2 linked regions of the Lepisosteus oculatus genome follow. The protein of the gene in region 2 interacts with the protein of the main gene of each other region in a pairwise test. Links are inferred from orthologs where the notes say so. Each region holds a gene or a part of one and is shown on either strand. Other genes may lie near its edges.

The links. The genes of interacting proteins can lie anywhere in the genome.
Region 1: the proteins of usp13 (region 2) and trim55b interact in a two-hybrid assay, tested with the Homo sapiens proteins (2 studies listed by BioGRID and IntAct). The link is inferred for Lepisosteus oculatus from reciprocal best matches to the Homo sapiens genes USP13 and TRIM55.

The regions. Positions count from the first base shown.
Region 1 is NC_090701.1:51,231,630-51,238,904, reverse strand, and holds the start of trim55b (tripartite motif-containing protein 55b), read right to left. Parts: upstream 3,013-7,275; 5' UTR 2,784-3,012; coding exon 2,619-2,783; intron 2,440-2,618; coding exon 2,267-2,439; intron 1-2,266. UniProt on the Homo sapiens protein: E3 ubiquitin ligase that plays an important role in regulating cardiac development and contractility, muscle growth, metabolism, and fiber-type differentiation.
Region 2 is NC_090708.1:1,728,239-1,736,216, reverse strand, and holds the start of usp13 (ubiquitin carboxyl-terminal hydrolase 13), read right to left. Parts: upstream 3,006-7,978; 5' UTR 2,916-3,005; coding exon 2,805-2,915; intron 1-2,804. Other genes in the region: ndufb5 (NADH dehydrogenase [ubiquinone] 1 beta subcomplex subunit 5, mitochondrial), read right to left, coding at 6,264-6,384, 6,752-6,858. UniProt on the Homo sapiens protein: Deubiquitinase that mediates deubiquitination of target proteins such as BECN1, MITF, SKP2 and USP10 and is involved in various processes such as autophagy, endoplasmic reticulum-associated degradation (ERAD), cell cycle progression or DNA damage response.

The DNA of each region.
Region 1 (7,275 bases), on a different chromosome or scaffold from region 2:
ATACTGCGACGTAAATGATTCAATTTAATACAGTTCAGAAATAATTGTTTTAGCAAATAATACGGAAAAATCCTGACTGATGCTTTTTGTCCTGGAACTGATTCAGCCAGCAAAAGCACCGGGGCTGAACAAGGCACTCAGGAATACCTTGGGTAGTCTGAGTGGTTTTAAAAGCTCCAGGTGCCTCTTCAGCGCCCAAACATAAATCTATTATTATTTAGATAATTGCTGTCTTTCAAACAGTAAAGAGAAATTTGTGTATCCAAACTCAGGCACAAGAGGCCCCTCTGAAGAGGTTAGCCGGGAGCGAAGATCTGCCGGGACCACTGCCAAGGTTGTCCTGCCAAGTGAGTCATCAAAACACATTATAGCTCCGTGACCTCAAGTGCAGTTTTGTGGAGTGGTCTTGTTCTAAAAGTCTCCCATCCCCACCCCATCTGGGTGCAATCCAGATGAGGTTTGACTGTGCTATTTCAACTGATGAGCTGGGCCATTTTTAATTTTTAATTTACCTAAATAAGTTAAAAAATCGATGAGCTACTCTTTTCTGGTTGAAATATGTTCCTTTTAGGAATAAAGTCTTGGCAAATGAGGAAAAATTCTAAGTGACAGGAAAGGAGTCAGTGAATCCAAACCACCTGAGGAGCACTTAATATTCATGTAAGTAATCACCACAAATGTGCCTGAAACATTTAACAGTAACAGGTGTAACTTTACTGCTGTAGTGTATATTAATTCAATTTTAGGGCCCAATAAAGACCCTGTGGTGACAAGTACTGTATGTCCCTTCTGATAATTTAAGACAGCTTGTGTCCTTTGGGATCAAGTCACTTCAACCAGCCTGCTCATCAGAAGAATATATTCATCGCAACAGCCAAGCCAAACAAGTGTGAGGGCAATATTCAAGTTCTGCTTGCTTAGTTCAACACACAGGTGCAAGTAATGTGATTTTTCAAGATATCACGGATATTACTACTAAATTTCGCAATATAATGTGTCATGGTAGAAAGAAACAAACACTTCTCTCGGTGTGGATCTGTGACCACATAAATCAAAGATGTTCTGTGCACATTTCCATTCATAATCTCTTGGGTCCTATTACAGGCACTGTGATAAAGAAGTTTTTTTTGCATTTTCCACCTGAATGTAACCTGAATCAGCTATAGGAAAGTTTCAGCAGAGTTAGATCTCAGCTGATATTACCATCTAGCCCCATAAAAGGACATCAGGAAGTGGCAGCTTTTATAATCAGAAAGGATGCTCAATGCCCAATGCATTTGGATTCCTCCACAAATTGGGACAGCCCATACATTTTTTGCTTGTGTGGGAGAATTCACACAAAAAAATGCTCAACTCTGGTAAACACATAATATATGGGAGGCTGCAGAATCTAAAATGACAACCAGTGCCATATAGCCTGGTGCGGACGGTTAGTTATGAGATTTAATTTCATCCTGCCATCAAAGGTGTGACCTCAGTCACACTGCTTGTGTCCAAATCACAGCTGCAAGGTTGTCTAAAAGAAGGATCTGTCCGGATATTGAATGCTGCTTTGCTGACTCATTTGCACGTAGGGGGAAACTTTCTCAGTGCTACAGTTTTCACATCATGACTACAGTGGGTTTTGTCTTGTACAGGCAACAACATTACAGACGATAGATTTCTGTTTAACTGCCAATTTGTTATACAGTATCTCTTGAGGGCAGTCCTGATGGAGTCGAAATTTTTTGTGCAAAAGCACAAGGTTGTGAACTAAAACAAAAGCTCTTAAACATAGCTCTTAAAAAGCTCATTTCAAATATAAACAGCATACTAGAAAAGAAAACATTTTAATGTTTTTTTTTTTAAAAAGCAGTGAGATAAAGTTTGTCTACGTAACAACTTATTCTCCTGGTGTCTCAGTGAGGTCAAAGGAAAATATTGTAGCGCTTCCTCCTCACCACCAGGCGAGGGCATTACAGTATCTACTGCATGTGGAACATAAAGAAGATTTCAAATGTGATTCTAATTCTTATTTTGTAGACATGAAACTCACAACAGTGAATGTAAGGTAGGCCTTTTGCACAGCTGTGTTCATGTGATGCAGCCTTTTTGGAATTGGGAATCTCATCACAGTTACCGATGTCGCATTTTGAGGTCTTTGTATCCTAAAGAGAGAAATTCTCCAGTCAGCTATGATCGTAGTGTAGACTAAAACAGAGCGTGAGTACAGCTGACTTCACATACGGTACAGTAGCATGATTATTTCCATCGAATGCAGGCTCACCTGATGGACTCCATTTTGTACATATCGATGATGTTTTCCACCAGAAGGTTCCTCTGCAGCCCATATACCCCATGTCGGTCCAGAACCACCTCGTGTCTGCAGGATGGGCACCGGAACCGGCCTCCTGATGACACTGTGGTGCCCGCTCTGGTGGGTAAGTAAGGATTTGAGGCCTATACCCACCAGGAACAGAACACAAGGGCACAGAAAAAAAAATGATCCCGCAATCCCACTACATGTTCTTCATATTCAATGTTTAATTGCAGACATTCTTACTAAATGACCTAGAGTGAAAAGCACACAAAGCAACACAGTATGCAAAGTTTAATTCCAGGCTGATTACAACACCTACCTGGAAAATATCATTGGCGCACTTCCGGCAGAGGTTGTGCTGACAAGGGAGGATGACCACAGGTTTGGTAAATATTTCCAGACAGATGGGACAAATCAGCTGTTTCTCCAGGTTGTCCATGGTGTGATTCTCTTTGGAATACGAGTGCTCCAGGGAAGTACTCATTGCGCACTCCAAAGAACCGCAAGGCAAGGTGATTTACGTAGCAAAATCCCCCCAAAAAAGAGGGGAAAAAAGTTTCGCCGACGTTGTACCTGGTGGGGGGAGGGAGGAGGTTCTTTCCTTGTAACAATGCAGAGCCCAGGGTCTGAAGAAACGTCCTCAGAGTATCTTCACTCAGATCACATTGCTTAATGGCCAGCGGTCGGCTGAGTGTCAGGGCGCTGTTTTTAGAAACATCAACGTCAAAGGTTGCCATGCTGACTTGACCATATATGAAAACGACAAGAGGAGAGATCCTGGCAGCTGCTCCGCCACTGAAGGGGACAGAAAGGAGCATTGTGGGTTCAAAGAAAACAGAGCCACTCCGCATACTTTATGGAGACCAACAGCTGAGGTCACAGTGCGGGAACTTTTTTAAAACCACGAGAATACGCTCGAATACGCTACACTGCCCTATGTCTTCCTCATTACGTTGCCTTCTCTAATTAAAGGCCAAAGACAAGGCATCTTATTCAGAAAAAAAAAACAAACAAAGAGGATTCAGTCTTTCAAACTGCTCAAATAAATTTCAGGGCAACAATAGGTATGGTATTGTCATCAAAACCGTTATTTGAAAAATGAAACTCTCATTCAGCTGCAGCTCTGCTTTGGTTGGTAAATGGCTTCAACAACCATAATCAGTCAATCTGTGCTTATTATGTTAATATTTATCTTGTAACTGTTATTGTTATTGTGTAGTTTGTGACCCCAAACCATCAGATACCCAGCCCCATCAATAAATACTGATACTTTTGTGTACAAAATCCTATTTTTCCTAACACCCGATCTTTAAAAGAACATTAGGTCTAGCGAAAATTAATTTATACTGTATTCCTTTTTTTGGTTTCACTACAAATTTTAATTTTAGAAAACCTAAATATCAAAAATACTTTACCACCCAATACTTTTTCACTACATAGGTTCATTTTTTGTATAAAACAGAATTTTCAGACCTTCTGTCTTTACTGTTTTTCTTCTTTTTATTCCTGTTTTAATTTAGAAAGTATCTTATAAACACATATTGCGCAATGTAAGTTTTTGTTTTCCCGTTTTTATGTTATGTTTATCTTTTATTATAAAGAGACGAAGTGCTCTCAATGCAGAAGCTTTTAGAGCTGGTGTTCAATGTTTAAGTGCAGATGTTATTATAATTAGTTGCTTCACAGATGGTGCTGGGATAAATTTGAACACGGCTGGGATTCTCAGGTTTATTTTTAAAATGTATTGTGGTATTCGGCTACCTCGTGCTTTCTGACTCGGCATGGAAACAAATCGCCCGAATTTAAACTGTCTGAAAGATCGTAAATTACAACGGTTTACCCTGTATCCGTTTTTTTCCAGACTAATTTTCCTTTTTGGTTCTTTAATCTCTATCGAGAGGAATTTTTAAAAGGTTTTTTTTTTCCCCATTACTCTTTCCCCCAAAGATCCTCGATTCGAATGGTGCTTCGGATTAGGAGAGTGTTGATCAATAGCGATTGTGTGTTGATTATAGGTGTAGGGCTGTCTAATTCACTTACCTGTTGGTTTTTGTAAAGAAGTACTCGATTTAGTAGTGATACAAATACCACCAGCCCCCAAACCATAATCCTCCGCGTCAAAAGAGTGTTCTCATTTTTGAATGATCAAGTGTGGTAACCCTAAAACAGGCTAAAAGCAAAGGTGGAGAACTGGGTCCTTGAATTTATAAATGGTGTAAATTATCAAGTTATTTTGTGAAAGTGTATCTTGTGAGAGCGAAGATTTTGTAAAAAAAAAAACAGCTTGGAGAATGCGGGCATCGATCCCGCTACCTCTCGCATGCTAAGCGAGCGCTCTACCATTTGAGCTAATTCCCCACTACGGTACAGCTGTCTTTTTCCTGCTATTTTAATCCTTTTTGGTCCTATTTCTTCTTTGAAGAAAAATCTAGTGCGGTCCCCAAAGGATATGCACTCAGCCCTCAATGCACAACTTTTGTTAACTAAACTGATTTGCCAAAATATGTTTTCGTTTTAATTTCAAACACCACCAAACCACTAAAAAAAATCATCAATGCATAAAAAGTAACACGATATCAAATCGCTTCATTGCGTCAATATCACCCACCGACTTTTCTTCAGCACTTGATGACTTTAGTAGTGTAAATTTACAAGTAAGGTTAAATACAGGATCTTGACGCAAGATCCAGTTCACAGCCTTCAATATTAATGTAAGCATCTATTTTTGCTGTAATATTTAAGACATCGACACGTTGTGTGTACGGGTGATGTGATTCATTTTCACATTTTATTGTCGATGGATTTGCCACCTTTATTTAAAAATTGCTCATTTTGATAACACGTGGTCTTTAAGCTAAATTTATGTTATAGTTAGTGCTTTTTTTGTTGTTTTCACGGCAAATTTAACAGTTCACTGAACGTGTCGATAAAAACTCACGTTTGTCTGAAGGATACGTGATATCGTGTAAATCTATGCCCATAGGCTTTTTGGTGACCAAGAATTGTTTACGACACAATCCATGACCTGAGAAAGGTGGGGTGGCGAAGCGGTTAGTATTTGCATTTTGCAACCCGAAGTTTGAGTGTTTGATTCCCGTGGTTCAGTGCAATCCAAAAAAAAGACCGCACCCCGCCTGGAGCCCATGGTGTTCTCGGGTAGGCTCTGCTGCGTGGATGAGGCAGTTAGAAAATTGATGGATGGATTTATAAATAGTGCTATTTTCTTTTCTGCTTACTGTTTTTTTTATATGTATAACTTATGGACTGTGTTTTGAGGATGGTCAGGATTACACGGCGCTTTATTAGGAAAAAAAACGATAGTTCTCCCCCCTTTTAACCACATTCTCGACAATTTATCGTTTTTCCACCCCTGAAGAAACACCGTTGCTGTACCCGGACAATACCAGGTACCAAATCAGTTCTTGTACAGGCAGATGACTGCCCAGGTTAATTTTTAAACGTTAGTTTCCAGATTAAGATCATTTAACAATAAAAAAATAAACTTGAAAGCAAAATGTCAATAATATAAAGATCATAGACGTATAATCAATAAGTGGGTTGATATACAAAAAAGTCGATTTAATCCTCAATTCGTAATAAATAAAACAGATCTTTACATCGACACACAAAGCTGTGGATCTTTTCTTGAAGTACACAGCAGATGTTTCCTCTATGTTAATTATACTTCGGAGACGCCGGCAGATACTAACATTGGAAAAAAATAGACGAGGGGGTTCTTTTGAAAATAAAAAAACTGTATTTCAAAGAACGCGGGAGAATCAACAACGACATTAAAAATAAAAGAACGAGCCGACGCGATTACTGTGTAAAATAAGAAACTGTTTTCAACAGGAGAACGCAGTACACATAGCACGCAAGAGAACAGAACTCCTCGCATTGCCTGTTTGGACAGCAGAAGAGACACGTGATTGGCTAAACCTGAGCCCTTGCACTAGAGAGGGCTGTGATTGGGCGAAAAAAAGGAGCAGGAGTTAGAACAGACGCTGCGATTGGTCAATTCCTGGTAAACGTCTTGGTAGTGATGCGGGTCTTGATTGGCTCAGGCAGAGACTCTTGGCTTCAAGGAAGAAAAGGATTGTGGGAACGGAACCGGCCGAGTCACGTCGTGGACGCAGTGGTTCTGGCAAAATAAAAGCACACTGCGTTTGAACTCACCTCATATCTAATAATTAGGTTCTAATTACGGGGATGGGAAAAATATGATTGCCCCCAATAAAATACAATAAAATTGTAAAATGACCATATTTCTAAGCTAAGATTAGTTTTTGAGGGGAAGAAAGTCATGACCCTTCGATAGCTCAGTTGGTAGAGCGGAGGACTGTAGCGGTAACACTGACATCCTTAGGTCGCTGGTTCGAATCCGGCTCGAAGGAGTAAAACTTTTTTCTTTTTTTTTTAAATACAATAACTTGTTCTCTTTAATTATACCTTAATCAACATTTATCAAAGAAGCTCGTTGAATTTCCTAAATTTCCTACCGTAACTTCGATTCAGGTACAACTGCTGATCTCAAGTATTCATTGCGGCTTGAATGCTAAACCAAGCCATTTCACTGGTTTGATTTCTTTTCAGTAGATTGAGCCTTTTTAATTTTTCTTGTGCTCGGACATTGCTTGTGTAAAAAAATAATTCAATCTGTTTCTGATTCTTGAACATGTTTATACCGTAAACTCTCGGTTTAATGGACTTACACTTTTTTGTTTATCATAAAGACACAAGCTTTTTATTTCACATATCATAGCACAGAAAACACAAAATCCATTTATATTCCCGAATTTTAAACTAAATTTTAGTGTTTTTCCTTGTTTTATCATTTCTGCATTTTACAGAATTATCCTAATAAATATTTCTTACACTCACATAGCGCCTTTCTGGACACTCCACTCAAAGCGCTCCCCTCAGTGCCACAGTGCGCCGGTACACTCACCGCACATCAGCTATTAGTGGGGAGGAGA
Region 2 (7,978 bases):
CAAGCACAGAACTCAATCTCTCCCGGAACTGGAGAAAGAGCCAAAAAATGACATCCCATCCCGAAAGATTCAACAAATGGCTTAGAAAAATAAAGGAAAAGAATGTGCTCTGAGAAACAATTAAAAAAACAACAGGATCTAGCTAAGGTAAGGCAGCACAATCAATTGCAAACACATGGGTAAAAGGATATTAGAAAGGCCAAGAGAGAATTGAAAAGAATATTCTAATGGAAGCTAAAAAGTAAAAGGTGAATAAAGAGCTCCTTCAGTGTTACAGCAGGTAAAGAAATGTCAAGGATGAAGTAAAATATACCCGAGACAATAATAGGAAACTTCTAGACAGGGGCTGATGTAATTTAATTTCTATCCCTTTATTTTATTCTGTTGATGCAGATTTTTGCACATAACCTGTTACCTTGTTGTTGTTTTGCACATTGCCTGTTATTGTTTTTTGCACACTGCCTGTTGTCTCTGTCTTTCTTTTGCTACACAATTGTATTGTTGTTGTTGTTGTTTTTCTCTTTGTACTACTTATGTCCGAGAGCTAGCTAAATAGCATTTCGTTATACCATATACCATGTATATGAGTGTAATGACAATAAACTTGAAACTTGAACTTGAAACTTGATGTACTAAATGAGCATTTCATTCAAGTATTCACTGAAGAAGACGTCAACAACAGGCCTCCGGCAGCGGAAGGACAAAGGTCTGTACTGCAGCGTAGCACACATCCCTCAGAGGGTGACAAACACTGACTCGGGGAAATTACTGACCACCACACCCAGCACCCGGCACATGAAACGTTACGGAAATGGTTTCAGAACGAAAGGAGAGGATCACCTGTCTAGAAATCAGATTGTAATAAACAGTCAACACAGATTTATAAGAAAGACCAACTGTTTAGTTTGGCACTTAACCTCCTGGAATCTGGAACCTGTCTCGCCTCTGTCTCTTCATCAGCAGCTTAAGGCCACTGAGAAGCGGAGACGTCGGTGTTGTCAAACCTTAATTCAATCAATTCAGCCATTTTCCATGTAGCAGAGCTACAGCCATTTCCAACTTCAATATCAGAGTGGGGAAACTCACAGTTCCACTCAGGTGCACCCATTCAGGTTTCACTGGTCGCTTTTCAAGATGTCTGCTGGGTTGACTTCATCGATAAATTTTCAGATGGACGATGAATGAAAACTCATAACACTTAGCTCAGAGTCAGCTGACATGCAAAGAAACTTTGCTGAGTTAGACAGTAAATGTGCCTCATTCTGCAGAGGAATATGTATCAGAGATTTAAGTGCCTAAATCATTCTAGAAATAAAACAGTCCTCCTGTTATAAAACAGAAAAGTGTGCCTGACCAACTCTTTTCCAGAGGGCTGGATGAGCGCATGGACACGTTGTGGCTACAAGACATCTGTTCCAGCCCACTGTGAATGTTTTTATCTCAGCGAAACCCAAGAAACACCTGTCATTTAAAAAGAACCAGGAGCACCTGCTCAATCCTACAATAGAAACCACAACATACATTTAAAAAAACAGCAACTCAGGTGTGAAGCCCTCAGCAGATTACCACAGGATTTACAGCCCACAGTAATGTGCGTTTCAGTATAAATCCCTCCTGGTAACCAAGACAAGGCCGGACAGGAGAAGTTATCGAATTAACTACACCATACATCCGAAATCATCTTAATTTATTCTAATGTGTCCTAGTCTCCTGTGGTAGAAAAGACTTGCGAGTTTTTTTTAAAGTTTCTTTTGTAAAGGAAACAACATCGCAATCGTTTTTTTTTCTCCTTTCTGTCCCTCGTGGCGATAGGCTGGACGAGCTGGACGAGACCCCAGGGTTAATGGAGTTGGGTGGGCGACACATGAGCCATTTGAAAAAGAGATTAAAAATAGCCCAGGCTTTCCAGCCGACATGAGGAGTACCTGACAGCTGAGTCACCTTTAAATCTGCCCCAGCTTATAAAATAATACATAGAAAGTTAGGGCAACGTCCTTAAAAACACAAGAAACTGAACTGACTTATATAAAGTGTTGGTTTTGGTTAATATTCCCCAACACGTGGTTCCTGAAGGTTAAATCTTGCTCCTCCCTTGCTCCTCTGGAAATGCTGTCCCTTTCAGCGTTCATGTTCAGCGTGACATTTTGCAACAAAAGGTGACATTACACCGCTGTATACTGAAGAACTAGAACACATGCCTTGTTTCGCGTCTAAGAGCAGGCGAACGCGGGTTTCGCCAGCCCAGACACGAAACGGGCACGTCTTTGGGGCTCCCTCACTCCAGGAAAATTTGAGCCCAGAAGAAGCGCTGCGGATGACCCGTTTTCGAAAAGCGTTCAATCTTTACGAGCAGGGCGCTGTCAAATCACAAATCACAAAGCAAAAACAAAACCGACTCGGGGAAGCTGTCTGCGCCTCTCTCAAAAATAAAAAAAACGCATTATAGTCTGCATGCGTGAAGTTACAGATCCCTACCGCATTCCGGCGGCAGTGCTGAAAAACCCTCTCTCTCTCTCTCCGCGGAGGAAGTTTGGACTCAAAGCTGTGCCCGCACTCGAAAACCAAAGACTGTTAGGGGGGTGGGATAACCGAGAATCGCACAACCGCCGTCTTAGCAGTGCTCAAGGCAGGGAGACCGGGAGGGCAGGACGGGGTGAGTTATTTCAGCCGGCGCTGCGAGCTGGTCGAGAGAATGGTGGACACGGACACGGACACGGACCCCCGGTCCCCCTCCGTGCGCAGCGCGGTTCACGTGTGTCCAGCGGGGCCGCACGGCCGCCTGCGCGGCACCGCCGAGCACTTACTGGGGAGTCGTAGGAGAAGGCGCACTCGCTCTTGAAAACCCGGTCCCCGGTCCTGGGGACTCGGATGGTGGGCATGTACGGGACCAGCAGCTCTCCCAAGTCTGCAGCCATCTTCGCATTCCTGCCTCCAGCCCCAGAATGCTACCGCGAGCGAGGGAGACGGAGCTGGAAGTCTGGGAGAGCAGCTAGCACATGATGCTATTTTTAAATGAACACAGACCCGACATTCCTGCAGGATCCGGGAGAGTGACGCTGTGAAGCGAGGGGGGAGGAGGAGAGCGAGATTAAAATTGAACGTATATATATATATTAGGTGCTCGGGCGGTATTTCTTAACCCCCCTATTGGGTTTACATCGATTTCTGTTTCGCCGTGAATTTGGCGCTGCCGACTGTCAATTTACCCAATTCCGCGTCTCCCACCTTCCCCGGCGGAGGCGCGTCGTTTGAAAGGAGACTCGAGGTTTCGGCGTTTGTAATCAATTTGGCGACGGTGCGTGACAAAACCGACGAAGCCCGCCCGCCCGCGGCGTGGAAACGGTCCTTTAAAGCTTCAAAACGAAATTGGTCACCGCTCAGATGAGGTTGCAAATTCCGCATGGCGGGGTTATGCGACAATATACAATATAGCAGCGCCGGACGGTGCTGAAACCCGACGAATAAAGCAGGTAAGAAGGTTATAAAGAGGCAAGAGGTTCTAACGGAGGATATGTTACAATTTTTTTAACTCCTTCATCGCGGTCACTGGTCATTGATTAGCGATTAGCTCACGTGAGGTGGGGGGTAAGATGACCTGCCCGTATAAGGTGTTTTGTAAAACAGCGTTCGACCTTTTTTTTATCTTAAATACCCGATTGTCCTTTGTGCGAATTACGCCCCCCCAAAGAGAGCAGACCTTCAGATGGACTGGACGAACACGCCCCGAATCGACTCCGCTTCCTCGGACCCGGCTGACCTGAAGTCAACACGTCTTTTAAAGCACCGAACATATATGAAAGTGTAAATCGATTCTGCTGAACCTCGGGTGGATCAGACGTCGAGTCCAAGGTGGGCGTGGGGACAGGGCTTGTTACGAGCTGCATGAAAATTTCACATCCGACCCGATATTCACCTGTTTCCTGCTGATCACACAGAGGAGCAGACTGCTTTCCCAGAAATGTCTTGGACACCAGACAAAGAAAGCCAGTGACCAACCAGACAGCAGCATCTCACAGCTTCAGCGCCACAACCACGAGTCTGGTTTAGGGCTTCTCTCACTCAGTTGTGTGTTAATGATGATCTTTTTGGATTATCGAGCTTTCCAGAGTGTCGCTCTCCTCGGATAAAGTAAAGATCAGTTCTAAGTGCCTGTTTTGCATTTCTTGGGTAATTGACCAGGGGGTGCCCAACCAGTCGATCGCAAGAATGTGTGGTATCAAATAAATGGGCTATTTGACTACTTTTTTAGATAGCCTAAAAATTCATTCAGATCTGTGCATGTAATGTCATACATTTTACTGCCCTTGCTTGTGCTTAACCCTTGTGGAATGGGTTGTAAGAGTCTCTTCCCTGAGTGCTGGCCCACACTGAAGAAAAGGCTACAGGTGCTCTGTAGTGTTGGGTGGGCTCCCCGAGACCCCTCCCTTGGCTATTGCTGCACGAACCCCACATTCGCCACAGCACATGGTGGAGCGAACCAGACAAATGGCCGTGACAAATTCGCCAACAGTTTGAGGAGTTAGATTGCCCTTTTTATGATAGTTGTAGTGTTTGAGCGAATACGATGAAGCAAAGAGCCCGAAGACTTACCCTCACCACGAGGAATGGGGGCGCGATTATTTTTTTGTACTTTCGCATTCAAATCTGCAAAGCTAGCGTCTACGCGAAAAAGGGAAACAAGAGAACCACATTTCAAAACTGCACACAAAATGTAAGATGTGTGCTTTCCCCACTAAAAGTGAGTTACGGAAAAAAGTTGAAAAATTAAAATCTCAACTAGCGGCAGTTGGTTTTAACGTGGCCTAACACTGGAGGGAAACCAGCAATCATCGCTGCTGCTGACTTGCTGTTTGGAGATTTCACAGACAGACAGCTATTGCCTGAAATGAGAGTTTCTCAAATAGTCTAAACACGGTGAATGTGCCCAATGAGAGGGCGACCAGTGGCTTCTGGGCTTAGCAGTCCTCCCAGACTTGACTGAACTGCCGAATGAGCTGAATGTCGAGCTGCAGGGACACAATAAAAGTGTCTTCGACACGATCAGCAGTGTCAACACGCTCAAAAAAACGATTACAAGTGTCCTCAAGTAAGCTTCTCAGTGTCAATGCTGACATGAAGGTAGGATATTTTTTTTCTAAAATGGGGAACATGACTTGTTCACTGTAGCCTGAGTCACTTGCTTTTAATTGCTGTCATTTTAGTGATGGGTATAGTTATTGTACTGATGTGTCCACAGTCTGTTTTTCCTATATCAGAGCTTCAAATTCACACTGGTAGTTCGCGCGGGACTGGCACATGAAAAAGTAAATCTTTCATTAAAAAAAAAAGGTTGGGCACCCCTGTAATAGACCCTGAGCATCACATCTAATTGACAAAAGACATGTGGGCAGAGCAGGTGGCCATCTCCTTAAGAACACAAAGACAAAACTGCCATCACTTCCTGGGAGAAAAAAAAATGACCAGCTCAAAAATGAAAGGAAACGTTCTAAATCTTTTTAAAATGAATAGTTTTCTCTCTTTAATCTAGTAGATCCCAGTGCTGGTCCTGGTGAGCCCCACACCTGCTGGGTTTCAGTCCCTCCCACCTCCAGCAGATAACTGAGGCCTTACTGGATCAACAAGGAGCTGCTCCAGTTCAACATTGGCGTGTTGTTAGTAGTCACAAGCTTGAGAATGTAAATCTCTCGAAAAAGGCAATGTTGGTTAAAGCTTGAATGTGTGTAAGAGTTGGACACAGTTCAAATTAACTATTAAGATAAGATCACTTTATTGGCCGTATACAATTTCTTGTGTTAGGAATTTGTCTTTTCGCAGACCCCAGCTTGCTCTCCATGAGACACACAGACAGGGAGAGAAGCTGGGGGTCAGAGGGTAGGGTCAGCCGTTTATACAGCGCCCCTGGAGCAGTTGGAGTTAAGGCCCTTGCTCAGGCGCTCAATGGATTAAGGTAACAAACCAGCAACCTTCCAGCCACAGGCAGATCCCTAGCCACAGAGCCACCGCTCCGCCCCATATTAAGTGAATGAAGACTTGACTGTAGACCTGAGGGTTTGGATGGAGCAGAACCGGGTCAGCAGGACAGGGACCACAGGGGATCACAGTTTTAAACAGCACTCTTAAACAAAGCTGAAACATTGAAAAGGCTTTATTTAAAGCCAGAGCATTATTATACAAACATATACAGGGGATAAATTACTGGCATGCCCCCGCCGAGCGGGCGAGCAGGCGGCGGTCTCTGCGGCTCGCGGAAGGCCGGCGCTGCCTCAGTTGTCGGGCGTGGCCTTGTGGGAGTAGTCAATCAGCTGCTTGTCCATGGTCTCCACCTGGAACCAGGGCCCGTCGCCCTTCTGGCGCATGTGCCTGCGCACCTCCTGCTGCTTCAGCCTGTGGCGCAAGCAAAGGCAACGCGTTACTCTTGGAGAGTGGGTCCCCCCGCCCCCCGCCCCCCGCCGGGACAGCCGGAACAACGATGGGCCGAGGGGCCCCCCTCAGGCACGCGCAATCACACACAGACACCAACGTCAGCCAGGACTCCCCCAAAACACAAGGACGATGACAAGGGGTCTGCTAAGGGCATGAAACAATAACTGCTACAGGGATTTTACTTCTCGATGTCACGGGCAGTATTGAAGTATCAAAGAAGGGAGAGCCCGCTCAGTCAGACCCCTCGCCGAGCTGAGCAGGGGGGACAAGCTCCACGGAGCCGCTTCAGAGAGCGGAGGGGCTCCCCAGTCTCCACGCCGCCACTGACCTCAGCTCGGCCTTTTCCGCCTCAATCTGGATCAAAGCCATCATCTTCTCGTAGTCCTTCTCTGGCGGGTCGTAGAAGTTCCGGACGATCCACCGGGTGATGGGGTGCTGAAGGAGAGAGACGGACAGACCCGGGACGTTGGACAGAGGAACCTCTTGGTTCTGCACGGGTCCATCTACAAGCTGACTGTCAGCTTTCCTCTTCAGAGATTAATTTGGTTTTGCCCGCCTAGTTTAGAATCGCCAGCTGCCCTGTGACTGCACACGGGGGAGCGTGAGGAAGAGCAGGGGGATCCCCCCCCCGGCCGTTTGAGCCCCTCGTGTTTGAACACGTCACAGGCAGCACCGCCCCGCCCTGCAGGGCCAGTGCCGACTGGAGGAGGCACGTCCCCTCGCTGACCGCACCGCAGGCCTGCAAGCGCCCCAGGAGGCCACAGGAGGCGCTGTGGTGCCCACAGACTCAGTCCCACCCCACCCTCTGCGAATCCCAGTCATGCTGGGCTGGTGGTGTGACCCCCGGCTCGAACCCGTGATCGTGGGGCCCAGCCTGCAGACAGGTGAGCACCTTCACAGCATGAGCCACTCTGGGGGCTCGAAGCAGATTATCACTAGCAGACTCATTCCTTCAACACACCCCCCATGTGGAACTGTTTACCACACCGAGCCAACCCGCGCTGCCTCATGGGCGTGTCCAGGGCAAAGTGAAACTCACGATCACATCCTCCGTGACAATTAAACTCCTCTTTCACCACGGAGCAAGACCTGGTTAGTATGGGTCTCTAGGGGAGGCTGGATACAGACATCAACCTTAATTAAGGTACAGATGTGGACTTCAGGTATTACAGATTTTGTAACCCTTTTATATTTGGTCTCCAAACTGGGGATTAATATCCCTGCTACTGCACAATATCCAACATGGTCCTGACAAAACCTCCGATTTTCCTTCAAGCTCAGGGGTCCCCAATTCCAGACTGGATTTCGGACTGCAGAGACCCGGGTTCAGACTGAAGGGGTACTTCCTACAGAACAATGACCCGTTTTTGACATGATATCACTTCAGAGAGTTTGGAAATCTGGTCTAGATGGGAGAGTGCCACCTATTGGCACACTAGGACCACTTCCTTACTATGAGGACTCTGAAGCATTAATCAGCCCCGGCCTGACTGCATCTCAAATCTAACAGGAAAGACGGCAGAGTTGCAGGGTTTCTCGCAGAACAATCCTGAAA